Linked DNA regions of Yarrowia lipolytica. The protein of the gene in region 1 purifies or fractionates together with the protein of each later gene. This does not show direct contact. Links are inferred from orthologs where the notes say so. Each region holds a gene or a part of one and is shown on either strand. Other genes may lie near its edges.

The links.
Region 2: the proteins of YALI1_F13597g (region 1) and YALI1_A05220g purify together in Saccharomyces cerevisiae (affinity purification with western blotting; 4 studies listed by BioGRID). This does not show direct contact. The link is inferred for Yarrowia lipolytica from reciprocal best matches to the Saccharomyces cerevisiae genes COA1 and COA3.

Annotation. Positions count from the first base shown.
Region 1 is NC_090775.1:1,358,248-1,361,739, forward strand, and holds YALI1_F13597g (uncharacterized protein), read right to left. Parts: upstream 1,463-3,492; coding exon 791-1,462; downstream 1-790. Other genes in the region: YALI1_F13579g (mitochondrial 54S ribosomal protein uL6m), read left to right, coding at 1-339; YALI1_F13602g (mitochondrial 54S ribosomal protein uL3m), read left to right, coding at 2,025-2,879; YALI1_F13644g (uncharacterized protein), read right to left, coding at 3,172-3,492. UniProt on the Saccharomyces cerevisiae protein: Required for efficient assembly of cytochrome c oxidase in the mitochondrial inner membrane. Involved in a step coupling MSS51-dependent cotranslational insertion of COX1 to the addition of its heme A and copper B cofactors.
Region 2 is NC_090770.1:521,162-524,909, forward strand, and holds YALI1_A05220g (uncharacterized protein), read right to left. Parts: upstream 1,601-3,748; coding exon 1,530-1,600; intron 914-1,529; coding exon 664-913; downstream 1-663. Other genes in the region: YALI1_A05229g (uncharacterized protein), read left to right, coding at 1,785-2,642; YALI1_A05254g (uncharacterized protein), read right to left, coding at 2,911-3,748. UniProt on the Saccharomyces cerevisiae protein: Required for assembly of cytochrome c oxidase (complex IV). With COX14, negatively regulates COX1 translation and is involved in MSS51 association with newly synthesized COX1.

The DNA.
Region 1 (3,492 bases):
ATCAACAACCATGTGACTGGTGTGACTGATGGCCATGTCGCTCTTCTGACCTTGGTGGGAACTGGATACCGAGCTGGAGTCGAGAAGGACGCCCACACCGGCGCTCCCATTGTCTCCGTTCGATGCGGTTTCTCCCACCCCATCAACTTTGTCATTCCTGCTGGCATCGAGGTGACTACACCCATCCCCACTCGAATTCTCATCAAGGGCGCTGACAAACAGCAGGTCAAGCTGTTTGGAGCTTCCATTCGACTCAAGCGACCCCCGGAGCCTTACAAGGGCAAGGGAATCTACCTCGACGACGAGACCATCACCCGAAAGGCCACCAAGGTGAAATAAATGTAAATAGATTGGTTATGAAAAGATTTGACACGACACCAGTAGCATGTGGCTTCTGTTGAGGTTAGCATGAATCGCGCAACCAACAAACCTGTAGAAACAGAACCTGTACTTGTACAGTAGCGCACGCCGCTTTGGCTATACCCTCGCATGACATATCTCGAACGATACCCCGACAAGAGGCGATGACAAGGATACCAACTCGTCTGAATGAGTATCTGAGTCTGACAGTCCGATAAGATACCGAAGCAGTTCTCGTACTACAGGCTAATGTATATATCATATCCAACAAACGGCTCGCTCTAGAGACTCTCATTATTGATATTATCCCAAAATGGATCCATAGGCCGCTACATTCACGTCTACAACTCAAGCAGGCTAGTCATTCTATGTACATAAGCTGAATGTCGACAGTAGCGTCGCATTCTAGGATTCGTCAACATGACAAGGTCTAGTTAACAAGATGTTCCTCCTCATCAATGATGAGGGGATCAATGAGTGAGTCGGCCAGGTTGACGACTCGTCCGTCTGGGAAGGTCAGAGACCACTCGAGCACTCGGAACTTTTCTCGGCCGGAGGCTCGTCGCGAGTTGAAATGCATGATGGCCTCGGCCTTGTTTCCCTTGACGGGGAAGGAGAAGTCCACCTTTCCAACAAGAGGACGAATGGTTCCCGACACCCAGGTGTAGGCACTGGCGAATCGGATACCCGAGCCCAGCTCCTCGTTGGCCAGGGGCGACTTTCGGAGCGTGTACATGCAAGATGAGACCTGCGAAGACGACATCTTCTCGTAGTTGAAGGAGAAGGCCAGAGACACGGTCATGATGACCACAAACAGACCAAATCCGGCCCATCGGCGCATCTTGTGGCTGGTAATGTTAGGCAGCTCCGTGTCCACGGTGACAGGTGCATTGGGCACCTTTTCGGGCGTGAACGGCTCAAAGGTGTGGCCCTCGTAACGTCGCAGGTTTCGGTCTTCGGGCAGCAGCTTTTCGTCGTCCTTCTTGGCGTCGGTCGACTGCTGGTGGAGCCACAGACGGCTGGTTGTGGACAGGGGTCGGGCGACCGAGAGAGGTCGCAGCAACGAAGGCAGAGCTCGTTGGGGACGCAGTAGTCGAAGCATTGTGTGAGTGTGTGCGAGGTGTGTGGTGGACTGCTCTGATATTGTAAGACGTACGGTATATTTGCTTTTATAGTTTGTATGGGTGTGGGTAGAAGGAGCTCTCCAAAGACCACCAGTAGCAGGTGTTTGGGAGCAAGTTGCACCGGAAAGAACTAACAGAGAGATTTGCACTGTAGATGTGGGTTGGTTTATGGGCAATTGGGGGGAAAAAGACCCCTATCGATGGTCATACTGTCCGCTTAAGATTACTTTCACCTCAGATTAACTTACTTAACAAACAGACTCAGCGTTACTTGAGAAATAGCTACAATTGTATCGAGGAAACAGATGACTTCAAACCAGCACCAAAAAGTGTGGGATTGAAAAAAATGACACCGGCAATCAACTTGCAGAGTCCACCATGGTATTTCAGCTCTTTCTCAGCCGTTGTCATTACCCCCCCTCGGTTCCTAAGTAAACGCAGGTTGGTCCTCCCACCTAGCTTCAAAGTTACCCTACCGTGAAATTTCCCAAGATTTTGACATTGCAGAACCACCACCCAGATCTGATCACACACACAAAAATGTTGCCTCGACTCCGTCTCATGGCAGAGGCCACTCCCGTGCGCGTGTTCAGCCGCGGCGTGGCCCAGCTCATCTCGCCCAACGCCAACGTCCCCGCCGCCGAGGCTCCCGCTCGAAACAACTCGCCTGCGGCCGCCTACGCCCGAAAGCAGCTGGTGTCTCGAACCGGAGCTCTGGCGTTCAAGCGAGGCATGATCTCGTGGTACGACGAGAACGGCGTGCACATGCCCGCCACGGTGCTGGAGATTGATCTGTGCCAGGTGGTGGGCCACAAGACCGAGGAGAAGCACGGATACAACGCCGTCCAGGTCGGAATGGGACACAGAAACAAGGCGCTGCAGAAGATGAACAAGAGCAAACTCGGCCAGTTTTCGGCCGCCACCGTCAACCCCAAGCAGGCGGTTGCCGAGTTTCGAATCCGCGGCAAGGACGGCCTTCTTCCCATCACCACCGAGATCACTGCCTCGCACTTCAAGGTCGGCCAGTACGTCGATGTCCAGGCCACCTCCAAGGGTAAGGGATTCTCCGGAGTCATGAAGCGACACGGCTTCTCCGGTCTGCCCGCTTCCCATGGTGTTTCGCTCAAGCATCGATCCGGAGGAACTACCGGTCAAAACACCGATCCTGGACGAGTGTTCCCCGGACGAAAAATGGCCGGAAACATGGGTAACGAGACCGTCACCCTCAAGAACCAAAAGGTGCTATCCGTTGACGAGGACACCGGAATTGTCATTGTCAAGGGCATGGTCCCCGGCTCCAAGGGCAAGATTGTCAAGCTCAGCGACGCCCGAAACATGTACGGCGTGGCCGCCCATGATGTCAAGTCCAGACTCGGTCCTCTGGTCCCTGAATAAATGTATATAGATCGCATAGTGCAATAACCGCGGAAGCGGATAACAGAGAATCGACGGGGTAGATAGATGGCTTGTAGAACCGCATAAGGTCGTGGACAACAGCCCTCTCCAGGCGAATCGTTGCTACAAGTAGTTGTACATACAAGATACTATTACAAGTACAAGTATACGGGCACAAATACTCGTACTAGTATCGTACGATGGTACACAGATATTTTCAACAATATATTTACTGAATGATATGGATGGTCTCACTTACAATTTTGCTCGGATCTTTGGCTCCGCTCATGATCTACAAATCCTCGTCCATATCGGCGGGCTTGACCAAACCGCCAATCTTGAGAGCCTTCTCCTTGTTCTGTCGCTCGGCCTCGACCCGATCCCGCTCCTTGTCCTCGGCGTACAAATGCTCCGTGTTGCCTCCGCCATACTCCTTGATCTGCACCAGGAAGTCTCGCAGATTGAGCTTGAACCGGGGGAAGTCCTTGTGTAATGCAAACAGACCCTCAATGAAGTTGGACACCTGGCCCTCGGTCAGATGAGGGAAGGCCTCCAGCAGCATGTGGCCCATGTACTGCCGCAGATAGACAGAGTTGGACGTGCCATCGGGCAC
Region 2 (3,748 bases), on another chromosome or scaffold:
ATTTGGATTTAATCGATACAATCGGGGAAACAACGGAAATCAATTCTAGTCACATGATTATAGCTCACAAAATAATTTTTCAAAAGATTTGTGGTCCAAAAACTGCCACAAATGACGCTCCCAATCACCTCGCCCTTTTGCTCTCATGTAAGGGTCCAGCTTGCTTTTCAAAGTCTATTTTTGGTTTAGCACGAAGCAGTCATCCAAAACTAAGTTTGGATTTTAGTTGACTTTATGGAATTTTTAGTTGACCTGATACTTGAATATTTGTTTGGACGACCGCCCAAGATAAAACCATTCACATGAAATAGAGGTGATAGGATAGTACACATTTTGTGGTTAATTCCACTTGTTCGTTCAATATAACTCTCATCGACTACAATTGGCCACGTTAGTGGGTCCAGTTCCTACTCTAGCGAACACTACATGCCTACATGCTCTACAGTATGCACCATATCTTCAGGCAGCTACAAGTAGTAGAACTGATGGACATGGTATCTGGTCGCAGTTGTGCCGGTACGAGTAGAGTTCTTATATTGTCGTCTACTCGTACCTACAATCACAATGAGACAGCTCATTGGGTGCACTTCTGACCTGATTACGGTCAGTCAGTCCCGCAGTGCTCAGTCAGAATAATTTACTATTTACATATATACAAAAGACCTAGGCCTTGGAGTCGTCGCTGTACTTGCTCTGGAGCTTCTTGATCTCTTCGGGATCAAGAGGAGGAATAGGCACATCGCCAAAGTCGTCGGTACGCAGAGAGTACATGGTGTATCCGTAGATACCGGCGACAAAACCGGTGAGGCCGGCCAGAGCGAGCATGTTTCGCACAAAGAAGGGTCGTCGGGCCCGAATCAGAGCGGGGGACATCTGGAAGGTCTTGGGGTCAATGTACTTGCCCTTTCGGAAACTGTGTTAGAATGGAACGGTCGAGCATGGTCGAAGGTCAGGGGTCAGAGGTCAGAGGTCAGAGGTCAGAGGTCAGAGGTCAGGAGTAGGTCCTTCAAGATACCATCGAAAGTTTAGAGGGTGTAGTTGTGATAAAACCGACGTGCTGCTTGCTGTAGCAATTGATTGGCTGGTTGCGGCATGTGGCTAGCCACAGCAATGCAGAGTTCAAACGGGTCTGTCACAAGCAAGACAACGTGTAGATTTTCTGGAGAAGAGAAGGATGAAGGAGACACATTTCTCATTCACGGTGTTGTCCTGGTCACAAAATGTCCGTGTAGATACTGAACCCAGAGTTGCATTGAGAGATCAGTGGCTCTGATCGTCGCACGCAGCTGTAGTGTCTTGAAGAGAGTGAGATTGGTAGTTTGATTGCAAGTCGCTTTGGGGAATACCAACCAAACACGTCTCTTCAAATAGCCCATTTCAACCACAACTTCTCTTCACACTCCCGTCCACCATTAGCCACCCGAATCCAACCTCCACCGCCAACACTGCCTGAGTGTCGCAGCCACCTCCTGTCTCTGATTACGACACATATCATGGCGTGTCAATCTCTCGATTGTCGTGATACTCACACTTTGAGACCGGGCTGGGGTTGCTTGTGCACCTCAAAGGTGCCCTTTCCGTTATGGGGATCCTGAGACATGTTTCTGTGATGTGTGGGTGTGTGTGATATGAGCCCTTGGGTGGTGAGATTTTGACCTCATGAGATTTTGAGTTTGGAGACAAGGCGAACAGGTAGGGTAACTTCATTGCATACAGGATGCGCTCTCCTGGATATGTGGTGATGGGCCAAAAGATTTTGAAAAGATTCCTGAATCAGTGCGACAATGGCAAAAATTCAACTGCGACACAAGAAACGGTTCAGCGCGTTGGGAAACAAGCCCGTTAAGAAAGCGGCGTCTCCAGACAGAGCGGGCTCCGCCACGGACACCCCGACTGCTGTTCCTGAAAAGCTGACTGAGAAAGAGGAAGAGCTCAAGACTAGCACAGAGGAAACTGCGGTGGAAAAGACTCCGGCTCAGACAGAGTCCCCCGTGAATACCGCTGCATCTTACAAGCAGACAATGGTGCCCAACTCGGTCCGAAAACGGCTGAGAGCCGAAAAGCGAGCTGCCAAGGGCCAGTCGGTTGGGGCGGATGGAAAGACTGTGGTTGTAGAGACTGCGGTTGTAGATACTATTGCTGGTGATGCGGCTGCGGACTCAACGACAACTGAGACTCAAACTGCTCCGAAACGCCTCGGAAACCTGTTTAATTTGCGAGCCCAGCAGGAGAAGGAAGTAAGGGAAGACACCAAGGTCGAGATCATCAAGCCACAGGCTATTGGGGACAATGTTACACAAGTGGCTGAGCCACCGATTATTGTAGTTTCTGAAAAAACACATGCCCAAACGCTGGATGCAGCGCCTCGGCCCAAGAATCGAAGCAAAGATCGAGAATTTGAGAATCTGGCGAATGACAACATCCACGAGTTCTCAGTGGACGCTTTCACGGAGGAATCGGAAAGACTCAAGGCCGAAGGAAAGCTTGACGAGTACAAGCGACCTCTTACGGCCATTGGAGGAGGCAAGCACCAGATCACCAGTCTGTTGCGACAAGCCCAGGACAACAAGGAGCAGCTGGAGGCGTCATACTCTCAGAATCGCCTTACCCAAAAGGAGAGTGGAGCAAAGTATGGATTTTAGAGCGAAAAATCGTGACTGCACGACTATGTTTACTGTATTATATATTTATTGCATTTATTTAAAATCAGATTTATAAGTGTAGAAGATCTCTTCCGTCCTAATTGTAGATTGTCTGCTCTACAGTAACTCGTTCGCTCCGCATAAATGATTAGACCCATTACCACTGTACCTGTACATACAGTAGTCGTATCGCAATACCAATATCTCACCTTGACATCCTGTATAATCCAAAATATATTACTTTTCACTAATTCCATCCCATCTGCATCTATTTGAAGTCCTTGAAAGACCACTTCTCGGTCACCTTCTTCTTGTATCGGGGCTTGAGGTTGTGTCGCTTTCGAGCCTCGATCTTTCCTCGCTGCTGCAGCGATCGGAACCGGTCTCGCATCAACGATCCCTCGGGCTTGAGTCGTCGAAGAGAGTCTGTGAGCTCGCCTGAGAGCTTGACATCGAGAGTGGGCTCCAGAATTTCGTATTTGCCGTACCGACGGGTTCGCACCTTCTCGGCAGCCTCGCCTCCTGCAATGAGATCCTTGAGATCCTGCTTCTCCTGCTCGGACTTCTCGGACCGCTTGGCGAGCTGTTGCATCTTCTCATGAATCTTCTTCATCTCCATCTTCATTTGTTTTCGAATTCGTTCCTTTTCCTTGTGTTCTCGCATCTGTCGTCGCTTAGCCATGCTCTTTCGCTTCTCCTTGGCAGGCGCGTTGATAGACAGACCGACGCTACCGCCCTCGAGTTCCTCATCAGAGGCCTCCTCCTCTTCCTCCTCGGACGAGTAATCCATCTGCTTGTCCTCGTGGTCCTCCATGGTGTCCATGAGATGCTGGACACGGGCTTGGTCGGCCTCCAGCTGCAGTCGTTCCTCCTCCAATGCCTCTTCCTTGGCCAGCTCCTCCTTGAGAAGAGCCTGCCAGGCCTCCAGAGAGGGATTGTAAGATCGACCCTCGTGGGGAACCTCAATAGCCTTGTCAGTGGCTCCAAAGACAAGAGGCTTGTGGTCCAGAGTGGAAGGTCGCACAGTGCTTCGGGTTCGAGAAGTGGCCTCTCTGTGATCACCGTTAGCAAAAGTAGCCCGCATGATGTTCTCAGGCTTAGCAGAC